3 linked regions of the Kluyveromyces lactis genome follow. The protein of the gene in region 1 interacts with the protein of each later gene in a biochemical or structural test. Links are inferred from orthologs where the notes say so. Each region holds a gene or a part of one and is shown in the gene's direction. Other genes may lie near its edges.

Region 1 (4,313 bases):
AACCCGTCCAGACGAGACACGATATAATATTGAAAAATGCAAAGATCCACAAGCATGTGAACCAACCAGTTCCAAGATGATATGAAAACCCAAACGAATCAAGTTCGTTCGAAATCTTTTGACGAATGTTGATTGATAGTATAGTAAAGTTTATGACTGCTACTAAAGAGCAAATAAACACCAATAGTTTCATTAGTGATATAGAATGCAGGAGGATTTTGGTTTTCATGGTTTGTTCAGGTCTATTCCTGATCATGTAGTACAAGACAATCGATCCCAATATGAAAACTTCCAATACTGCCACGACGTAAAGTAGATTGACCATGTTGACTTTTCTTCTCGACAAAGCAGCCAAAAATTTGTTGTATTTTGCACTTTCTGCATTGTCGTGATCCAAAACACCATCGTTGTAAGTATATCCGTATGCGTAACTTAACACTATTCCCAAACCTAGGTCATCTAATAGCTTTCTATAGTTCAATAAGTATTGCGCTCCTTCCCTGTGACAAGTCATAGCCTTTGTAGAGTTATGTTCCTCCTTCCAAGTACCGTCAGGCTGCCATAATTCTTGAGAAGCATGTTTCATGCTGCACCATCCGTAAACTCCTGTCTTTATATAATCGGGCACGTCGTGGACCTGTGAGTCTACATACCGCGTGAGTAAAAGAATCTCTGCTGTTGTGAGTCCTGCTCCGTTATTAATATCAGACAGTTTTGCACTGACAACAGAACTGCTGAGCTTATCAAATAGTCCCTGCAAAATGTTAACATTTGAAGTGTCCAATCGTCCTAAATATAACGAATTTGGTGATGCGGCAGAAATAGCAGTCAAAACAAGGACAAAAACGATAATTCCCACTGAAGTTATAACTCGCAGCCATAACATCATCTTATCAAATGCGTTGAGGTGTCCTAGGGTCACTTTTAAGTATTTCCATAACGATATATTCCTCGCCAAGACACTTCCAAACCTCATTTCTTTTTATAAAGCTCCTAAAAGCTTCTTATGTATGACTCTATCAACGTGGGAAATTGTTCAATTTTTTTTCCAGCAGGCCAGCTGCCTTTATTCTTCTGTGTTTATCTGCTTCACCTTCGTTAATTGACTGGCAGAATTCATTCTGTTTATCATGTCATCACTCTTGAGATAAATCTCTTGATCTGTTTCTGCCAGGGTTCAAGGTTTAAAATTAGACGTCAGGAATGGGAAAACTATGTATCATTTTACACGTATTTGATGTTTCAAGATCGATCTTAATTCAGTAAACAGAGGAACCGTGTAACAACCAATATGCTATGAGATAAAAGAATGCTACGGAAACAGGTAGCTGTCATTTCAACATACTTGGCCAGCAAGTAACTACTACTAGTTTAGGAAGGAATTACTGCATTTTAACGGTTATCTGATTATTTTTCCTTTTTATTCCGTGGTAGCGAGTTTATTAGGCATGGCGTCAACGTTAGCTGAGTTTGAAGTTCAATGGGAAATACAGAAGACAGACTTGAAGGGGAATCTCATTGCTGAAACTCCTAGGCGAAGAAGAAGAGGAGATGCTACAGAACATGAAGTGATTAATTTGGTACGATACGATGGAGTCAGACTTTATCCTGGTGTTACGATTGTGTGCAAGGTAGAGGGTGCAGACGAGTTATCAGCGTATATGATCCATGAGGTGCGATTGAATACAAGCAATTACGTAGAACTCTGGTGTTTGAACTATTTGAGTTGGTACGAGATCAATGCTGCGGAAAGATATAAACAGCTTGATGGAGAGTTTTATGAGACTAATAAGGAAAAAGGTGACAAATTTTTTGAGGAAACCTTCGCGTCACAATCGATAAAGAACGAATTGTATTTGACAGCTGAGCTTTCAGAGATTTATCTACGGGACTTGCAATTTGTAGCTAATATTAAAAATGAAAAGGAGTATTTAGACTCTGTCAATGAAGGGAAAATGGATTCTAATATGTTTTTATGTCGATCTGCATGCTTGCCTTCAGGAACTAATCTGGCGGATTTAGATATACATTTCTTTGAAGAAAAAATACGTTCCTCGAATCCTAAGGTGTCTCTGGAGTATTTGCGTGATATTACTTTACCCAAGCTTCCAAAACCTTTAAATAAATCCAAGGTCCACGCACGAGAGAAGGTAGTGGCGACGAAATTGCAGTCCGACAACACACCAAGCAAAAAAAGCTTTCAACAAACAGTGAGCAAAACCAACGCTGAAGTCCAACGCATTGCATCTACTATTGTTAACGAAAAGGAAGCTATATCAGATAATGAATCGGATTTATCTGAATATCACGAAAGTAAAGAAGAGTTTGCAAACGCATCCTCTTCGGACAGTGATGAAGAGTTTGAAGATTACCAGTCTGCAGAAGAGCTTGCAATTGTAGAACCTGCCAAGAAAAAGGTGAGATCTATTAAACCAGATATACCCATTTCACCAGTAAAATCACAGACTCCATTGCAGCCATCAGCAGTTCATTCATCTCCTAGAAAGTTCTTTAAGAATAATATAGTGCGCGCTAAAAAGGCATATACTCCATTTTCCAAACGGTATAAGAATCCGAAGGATATTCCTGACTTGAACGATATTTTCCAAAGGCATAATAATGATTTGGATATAGCTGCATTAGAGGAGAGATTCAGAACAGTTTCTGCTAAAGGCAAAATGGAGACTATTTTTTCTAAGGTGAAGAAGCAATTGAACTCAAGGAATAGCAAAGAAGAAATTGTCAAAGCTGCTGATTTCGACAATTATCTTCCGGCAAGAGAAAATGAATTTGCAAGTATATACCTCTCACTTTACAGTGCAATTGAAGCAGGCACTAGCACCAGTATTTACATTGCCGGGACGCCAGGCGTTGGTAAAACTTTGACGGTTCGAGAGGTAGTTAAGGATTTAATGACATCTGCAGACCAAAAAGAACTTCCAAGATTCCAATACATTGAAATCAATGGTTTAAAGATTGTCAAAGCAAGTGATAGTTATGAAGTCTTTTGGCAAAAAATATCTGGAGAAAAGCTTACATCTGGAGCTGCCATGGAATCTCTGGAGTTTTATTTTAACAAAGTTCCAGCTACGAAAAAACGTCCTATCGTTGTGTTATTGGATGAGCTTGATGCATTAGTTAGCAAGAGCCAAGATGTAATGTACAACTTCTTTAACTGGGCTACCTATTCAAATGCGAAACTTATTGTTGTAGCTGTCGCAAACACCTTAGATCTCCCCGAACGCCATCTTGGTAACAAGATTTCGTCCAGAATTGGTTTTACTAGAATTATGTTCACTGGTTACACGCATGAAGAGCTTAGAACAATCATCAATTTGAGACTTAAATATTTGAACGAATCTAGTTTCTATGTCGACCCGGAGACAGGGAGTTCGTACATGATCTCTCCGGATAGTAGTACTATAGAAACTGATGAAGAAGAAAAGCGAAAAGACTTCTCTAACTATAAACGACTAAAACTTAGGATTAATCCTGATGCCATTGAGATTGCATCAAGAAAAATTGCTAGTGTCAGTGGTGATGTGCGGAGAGCTTTAAAGGTGGTCAAAAGAGCGGTAGAATATGCGGAAAATGATTACTTAAAGAGGCTTAGATATGAGCGACTAGTCAATTCCAAAAAAGATACTAGTGGCAATGGTACAGGAAATGAAGAATTACAGAGTGTAGAAATTAAGCATATTACCAAGGCATTAAACGAAAGTTCGACCTCTCCGGAACAACAATTCATATCTGGTCTGTCATTTAGCGGAAAACTTTTCCTATACGCATTAATCAATTTAATTAAGAAGAAGCAAACTGACGTACAACTTGGTGATATCGTAGAAGAAATGAGGCTCCTCATTGATGTCAATGGGAATAACAAATACATTTTAGAGTTGAAACGGATTTTATTCCAAAATGATTCTGTTGATACAAAGGAACAGTTAAGGGCCGTGTCTTGGGACTATATTTTATTGCAATTATTGGATGCAGGTGTTGTAGTAAGGCAATATTTGAAGAATGAGAGGCTCTCGACGATCAAATTAAATATTTCCATGGAAGATGCGGAGCAATGCTTGCATGAAGATGAAATGTTGAAGACATTTTAGTATATGCCTTCAAGACGCCTTTGCTGCTATTATAATTGCTACTTAGGTTGTCATGTAGCGTAGCGGTTAAGTAGAATATGAAACTGCTTTTTCAACTATTTAATTATAAGATAGAAAGATATAATAAAGGATGCATTTTTTTAACTACTATTTTACCGTGTTTATTCATTCTTTACCCTCCCGCTTCGGGCAAGATGAAACCGT
Region 2 (4,187 bases), on another chromosome or scaffold:
ATAGGTGTATATGTATATAGTTTGAGTTTTATGTTTGTGTTTAACCTCGTGACAATACACATACATATATTTAAATCCTAATATAAAATATACTCTATCACAAGAACCGAATCTTCAACTATTCACATTTCATACTTCTTATATATAAAACTAGAACCGAAAACCATCTTAGTGTAACGATACTAACACTCTGTGTGCATATTAATCTCGGGCTAAACGAAGCATAAAAAAGTCAAACCAAAAACAGTTAAAATGCTAAAGATAACGAGGTAACTGTCAGAAAGTCAGTCTGAGACAGCTGTTCTAACCTGATTTCCAGTTTTAAGGTACATTACAGTACAATGCAGATACTCAGCTAGGCGAATTTTTTTTATTTTGAGAATTTTTTGTTGGCTTTTTCTTTTGCATCTTAGAAACGTGTGTAGGACTGAGAGTTTTGTGCGAAATCTTGAGTGTGTGGACTGAGAAACGGTGAAATAAATGTGGTCTGACTAAGTGTCATTGTGAACGACGCCGACACATAGGGCTGTGCCGGGGCCTGTACCCTTTTCCACACAGTAGTAATAATAATAAACATTAGCTTCGGTGATGTTTAACGGCATAAACTGTAAACTATTGGTATGCCGGTCCGTATGTAGTGCATTTTTGCAACACGTAAACTGGGAAGGAGCTAAATTGATTTTTTAAATTGATTTCTCAAATTTAAGGGTGCGGTTTACGCGTTTGTTTACGTTTTTTGACGTTTACGTACGGTACAACGCGTAAAATGTAAACAATTTATGGGGGGCGGGGAGGTAATAAATTACACCTGGTTTACGCGTTGCGATGACATACCTCTCGTTTACCAAGGGCTATCCCTGAGGGCAGGGGCGGCGGTACACTTTGAGCGAGGGGAAATGTTGAATTTCAGTTTCTGAAACTGGGGTGTCCATTTACGAATGCCAAATTCCTATACTATATCCATTGTCCACTCGATTGGCCCATTGAACACTTGTTAGGCTTAGATAATGCAATGTTAAGGTTGTTTTCACCCAATTTTTGAGGTTACTGCCTCTCTATACCGGGGGTCCAGCCAAGCCAATGTGGTCGTTTATGAAAAGTACTGAAAATTGAAAAATTGAATTGCAATTTCAAATTAAAAATAGACTATAAGAGGGAGGGTAATTATGTTGGTATGTTTTGTCACGTGGTTGTGTCCGGGTAATGCGTCTTTCATCTTCTACCCGATTAGGAACTGTAAAATAAAAATCACTTTCGTTTTTCCAATTGATCTTTGAAACATTTACGCATACACTTTCTGCTAATCTTCAACAACTTCTCCGTTATCAGTTTTCCTACTGTCTGCTGCCACTCACACCAACCAACGATTCAGAACACCACCAGTACCATGGCTTCATCGGTTTTGCCCACACTGGATCTCGGAATTGACTACGAGGTAGCTCAAGATAATATCAAAGATTTCTTGATCCATTACAAAGAGGAAACTATCGGTTCTACTGGGGAGAACGATAATGACGATAACTTGGATCCTGAAGTTGGTCAGGGCCCAAAGTACTTGCAACAATTGCAACATATTGCCAATAGAGAACAAGATATCTTGTATATCGAATTGGACGATGTGTACCATTATCAGCGCACCAAGCAATTTGAAAATTTGTCTTCGTCAAATACAGCAGCACAAGGCAAGAACTTAGTTAACTTACACCGTATCATCATGGAAAACACTAAGCGGTTCACAGAACTTTTCTCCAACTGTGTAGATGAACTATTGCCGCCTCCAACGAAAGATATCGATTACGAAACAGATGTATTGGACGTCATTTTACACCAACGAAGATTGAGAAACGAAAGAAATATCTTGGAAACTAGAGATGAATTCCAACAAATGGCTCAAGGGATGGGCGAAGAGTCTCAAACCAATTTGGATCAATTGGCCACTACGGACGCTGATTTGTTCCCTGCTGCGTTGATTAGGAGATATCATTTGTATTTTAAACCGTTAACCAGCAGATCCACTAGGAAACTGAAACCAATGTCAGTAAGAGAAATTAAAGGCTCTTATTTGGGAAAATTGATTACAGTCCGTGGTATCATTACCAGAGTCTCTGATGTGAAGCCAAGTGTCACAGTCAACGCTTATACTTGTGATCAGTGCGGTCATGAAGTGTTCCAAGAAGTTAATAAAAGAACTTTTACCCCAATAATAGAATGTCCCTCTGCCCAATGTTCCGAAAATCAAACTAAGGGACAATTGTTCATGAGTACTAGGGCATCAAAGTTCAGTGCATTCCAAGAATGTAAAATTCAAGAACTATCAGATCAAGTGCCCATCGGGCATATCCCAAGGACATTAACTATTCACATTAATGGGCCATTAACTAGATCCATGATTCCAGGTGATGTGGTAGATGTTACTGGTATATATCTACCTTCACCATACACTGGTTTCCGTGCTTTGAAAGCTGGTCTATTAACGGAAACGTACCTAGAGACACAGTTTGTGTACCAGCATAAGAAAAAATTCGCATCTTTCCAAGTTGATGATCAATTGAAAGAAAGAGTAGCGAAAATCGTCAACCAAGGTGATGTTTATAACCGTTTGGCTAAATCAATTGCTCCAGAAATTTACGGTAATCTCGATGTTAAGAAATCTTTATTGTTATTATTAGTGGGCGGTGTTGAAAAAAAAGTCGGGGATGGTCTAAAAATCAGAGGTGATATTAACATTTGCTTGATGGGTGATCCTGGTGTTGCTAAATCTCAATTATTGAAATCTATCTGTAAAATTTCTCCGAGAGGTGTCTATACAACTGGTAAGGGTTCTTCTGGTGTAGGTCTAACAGCCGCCGTTATGAAGGATCCAGTGACTGATGAAATGGTGCTAGAAGGTGGTGCCCTCGTCCTTGCCGATAACGGTATCTGTTGTATCGATGAATTTGATAAGATGGATGAAAGTGATAGAACTGCTATCCATGAAGTTATGGAACAACAAACCATTTCAATTTCTAAGGCAGGTATTAACACTACTTTAAATGCCAGAGCCTCCATATTGGCAGCTGCTAACCCGCTATACGGAAGGTATAATCCAAGGTTATCTCCACTTGAAAATATTAATCTACCAGCAGCTCTTTTGTCTAGATTCGATATCATGTTTTTACTACTCGATATGCCAAGCAAAGAAAACGATGAGAAGTTAGCAGAACACGTCACGTACGTTCATATGTATGACAGGCAACCTGATTTTGGTTTCGAACCAATTCCTTCGAGCGAAATGAGAGAGTATATTGCATACGCCAAGACTAAGAGACCTGTGTTGTCAGCTGATGTCAATGAACACATAGTTCTATCTTATACAAGAATGAGACAAGACTCTAAGAAAGCGTTGGATTCTAAATTCTCGTTTGGGCAAGCAACACCTAGAACTTTACTTGCAATTATCAGACTATCACAGGCCTTGGCAAAACTAAGGCTCAGTGACACTGTGGAAATTGAAGATGTAGACGAAGCTTTGAGGTTGGTAGAAGTCTCTAAAGAGTCATTATACAGCGACCGCAAGAACCCATATGAAGATGAAAACCCAACAACCAGAATTTACACAATTATCAAGAAAATGGCGACTGAAAATGGTAGATTTAATAAAAGATTACCGTATGATGCTATTGTAAGAACGATTAGATCAAGAGGTTTCACTATGCTGCAACTGGTAAGCTGTATCAAAGAGTATGAGTATCTTAATGTTTGGCATCAAATAGAAGACGGAAACACCTTGCTATTTATTGACGATATTGATGATACAACGGAAGACAATTCTGATATAACTAACCCTTCGACGCAAAGGACACCGGATGAAGATGTCGATATGGAATAATACCTGACTATCTGCATACCACTAATCTGTTTTGATCCAATAATGCCTTTATTCCTTATTTTAGTTTTAAACCTAGTTTAACGACAAATTTGTATTACTATATACTAACGTTTAAGTAACTTCTAATGTGCCTCTTCTCCCAGATAGACTGAACGATGCAGAAGTAATCACAGTCTATCTTTCAAAACCAAAATTAATTTGTCGAATTCAAAATCTATCTATTTTGTGCATAAACCTAGCTTATGCCATCTACTACTTAGTCTAAGGTAAGTTTACATATTTGTTTACAACTTCTGAAACCTCAGAGAGTAGTTCTTGT
Region 3 (3,179 bases), on another chromosome or scaffold:
ACGTAATCTTTGCAGGAACAAACAAAACTGGTCTGTTGTTCACAACTTGAGTTAAATCGTATGGCACTCCTCTTATTACTTGAGGTTTCTGCCCGGATGATTTCTCTGCAATGGCCCGTTTCGCTTTATTCACTTCTGTCACTCTGGCTGCGTTCTGTTTGATTAGTTTGTCCTTTATTGAATTTAACACTGTATTTTGGTTTAAAATGACATTGAACTTGATACCTGATACTGTGTAAGGTGCGTCTTTGAATTTCTCTGATGCCTTATAAGCAGCTTTATATGGAGCATCAGGTTGAGAAACTGGACCAGTGAATTTTATTAGATAGACGTACAATGGCAATGCACTATTTGGATCCATGAACTGTTCAAAATGCGCTATTTCACCAAATGATTTAAAGTAGTTTTTGATTATTGCTTCAGATAATGCGGCTGCTATTGGTTGTTGGTTAGATGCAGAAGGGTATACTATGATTTCTTTTGGAGGTTCAGGACCAATGTAGAAAGAATCATACGGAATTCGCGAGTTGCGTACCAATGCACTTCTAAGCTTTCTATATCTCTTTTTCGCAGAAATGGACCCAGAGACCGCATCCCCATTCATAGGACGTATTCTCGGATCCACCGAAGTTTGTTCAGGCTGCCTGGCCATGAGTATTGGTTTTTGCTTATCCGATGCAATCAACTCCGTTGTTGTCACATATCCATGCTCAGGAATCTTCTCAGATTTCCATTTCTTGAAGCTGGATTCATTTCGTAGTCGTTTACTTACAATGTCGTAATAATGATATTTTGTATTAAACTCATCGCGATCGTATTTCGCACTCACTACTGGACGCGTTGCGAAGGGATTACGAGGAATCTCGCTGATACCACGCGACTGCGACCGTATTGGACGAGATTCGTTCTCATTATTCCTAAGTTGAGACCCAAACCCCTCGCGGGAGTATCTTCGGTTCCCTGATCCATTCCGTTGGAAGCCCTTGTACCTATTCCCATTTTCTTGATATGCATATCGTCCGGTTTGGTACCGATCATTATTCCCATGAAAATGAGAGTACTGTCTATTATAGTACCCACTCATGAGAACTAAAATATACACACACGCTGGAATAGCAACTTATGCTAGATGAAATACTAGAAGTATTGCCAAAACTGAACTTATAGATGGAGAAGCGAATAATGATACTTTTGATTAATATTCAATTTCATTATTTACCATATTTTGTTTCAATATTGGAGAAAATCGAGAAAATCAGAAAAAGATCAAAAAGCTACATAAAGACTGTTTTTAATATTATGTTAAAAATGGTCCATGGAGATGAGATGAGATATATGTCTTTTCCGGGCCAGTGTAATACAACAAGTGAGTAGATGATCCTATTTTAGTCACTTTAGAGTGCTAAGAATCCGTGGAAATAATTTAAGATGTCTACGCAGCAAGTACGAACGTGTGTAACCGATTTATTAGGGGTCAAAAATGATTCTAATGTTGACTGGCAAGACCAACGGTTAAAGAAAGTGGCTTCTACTACAGCAACATTATACAACGTTTCAGTATCGAAAGTGATGCTGAAGAATTCAGAGGAACTTGCTCGGTGCCATATATGTGCACTGATTGCGTTTCAGAAACTAGCTGAGAAGTATGACAATGACCTACCATATTCTCAGGAGAAGATCCCGCTTCCACCAGACCAAGTATCCAAACTTGTGAATATATTTAAGAGAAACATATGGCCTCATTCGCCGCAAAAGGATACCGAAGGACAATTGCTGAAGTTTGATGATACTGCATCACCATCGGTTAGAAAGTCAGCGGTTAAAAATGCAAGATTCACAGGGATAGATCCGAAGTCGTTACAAGAACAGCTATTCCAGACTCCGTCGAAATCAAGAACTAAAAGTGGTATCCAGCCCTTGAAGAATGTTGATCTTTCACCTAGCAAAGGGAGTAGGTCAAGTGTCCGGAGGAAATTAGTGTTTGAAGCTGATACAGAAAATGGCCTTCCGTTGCCCATATTAGCAACCCCGAAGAATAAGACTGATATGATCAATATACCACAAGTGTTTGGATCAGTTGAGGATGATCCTGAATCTCCATTAAGACAGTCACCCTTTCGTGACTCCCCTTCTAAATACACGCCTTCACCAAGAAAGAAAAGAGGTAAGTATAACGAATGGAACATGCTATACAAAAAATACTATAGACCGTCTACCGCTGAACTGGTGACTCTGTGCAATGAATTTGAACTTCCTGAAGAAGTAACAGCTACCATAATTTCCGAATTCAATAACAACGCTACTTACCTAGCGTATCCTACACAGTTGGTTTGTGGTCTGGTACTTCTTTGCTCGTTCGTTGTCTTCAACCAACAGAGAAATCAGGACAGTACAATCGATAACAAGCTAATGAAGAAGATGGCGGCACAAATGAGAACAACAAATGATGAAGATATCATGGAAGCTATCAAGATCACAAAAGAACTAATAGACGGTGAGAAATGGTACCGAGAACTCCGTGTCAAGTTCGATTATTACGATGGATCGGATTTCGATAACGCTATCGCCGTCAGAATAGGCAGCATGTTACAAGACGAATATGAAGTCGTATCAGAAGAGCAATACTCAAACTGGAAACGAAGAATTATGGTCGACCTCAGTCTAAGAGATGGCACATGAATGGTTTCCTCCGATACCTTTCTTCTCACCGTCCCCATCTTCGCATTTATCATTCAATACGTTTTCATTACCTTTCTAATGAATTTTTCACGTTGACGTTTACCGAAGGGAACGGCAAGATGAAAAAAAAGAAGATAACTAAACATAGAGAGCGCAGATGAGATGAATTGAAGAGAGACATTACCGTCTGTCAGAACTCTGGAGATCGGATTACTCTTCGAATAATCAACTGCGAAGTACGTACCGAGTAACTGGTGAAATGACTGTTGAGTTGAAGCGAAACCTACTCGAATCATCTGTTGAAGACATTGATCTTGAATCCAAGAAACAGAGGGTCGACAATGACGTCGATCAGAACACAAGTAGTGTAGACGAAGATATTGATTATGAAGAAGACTATGATGAAGTGAACGATGTACCTATAGATTCAGGCAACTCTTTATTCAATAACAACGCTAAATGGCAAGAAACTATCTCCAAAGTTGTTAAGTCGGTGGTCT

What was found.
Region 2: the proteins of ORC1 (region 1) and MCM7 form a complex in vitro, tested with the Saccharomyces cerevisiae proteins (2 studies listed by BioGRID). The link is inferred for Kluyveromyces lactis from reciprocal best matches to the Saccharomyces cerevisiae genes ORC1 and MCM7.
Region 3: the proteins of ORC1 (region 1) and ORC6 form a complex in vitro, tested with the Saccharomyces cerevisiae proteins (3 studies listed by BioGRID). The link is inferred for Kluyveromyces lactis from reciprocal best matches to the Saccharomyces cerevisiae genes ORC1 and ORC6.

What each region holds. Positions count from the first base shown.
Region 1 is NC_006038.1:453,269-457,581, forward strand, and holds ORC1 (origin recognition complex subunit 1), read left to right. Parts: upstream 1-1,448; coding exon 1,449-4,109; downstream 4,110-4,313. Other genes in the region: ECM7 (Ecm7p), read right to left, coding at 1-976. UniProt on the Saccharomyces cerevisiae protein: Component of the origin recognition complex (ORC) that binds origins of replication. It has a role in both chromosomal replication and mating type transcriptional silencing. Binds to the ARS consensus sequence (ACS) of origins of replication.
Region 2 is NC_006041.1:2,065,526-2,069,712, reverse strand, and holds MCM7 (DNA replication licensing factor MCM7), read left to right. Parts: upstream 1-1,387; coding exon 1,388-3,868; downstream 3,869-4,187. Other genes in the region: KLLA0_E23211g (uncharacterized protein), read right to left, coding at 1-66; AAH1 (adenine deaminase), read right to left, coding at 4,130-4,187. UniProt on the Saccharomyces cerevisiae protein: Acts as a component of the MCM2-7 complex (MCM complex) which is the putative replicative helicase essential for 'once per cell cycle' DNA replication initiation and elongation in eukaryotic cells.
Region 3 is NC_006042.1:2,246,166-2,249,344, reverse strand, and holds ORC6 (origin recognition complex subunit 6), read left to right. Parts: upstream 1-1,428; coding exon 1,429-2,679; downstream 2,680-3,179. Other genes in the region: histone methyltransferase SET1, read right to left, coding at 1-1,084; NMA111 (Nma111p), read left to right, coding at 2,939-3,179.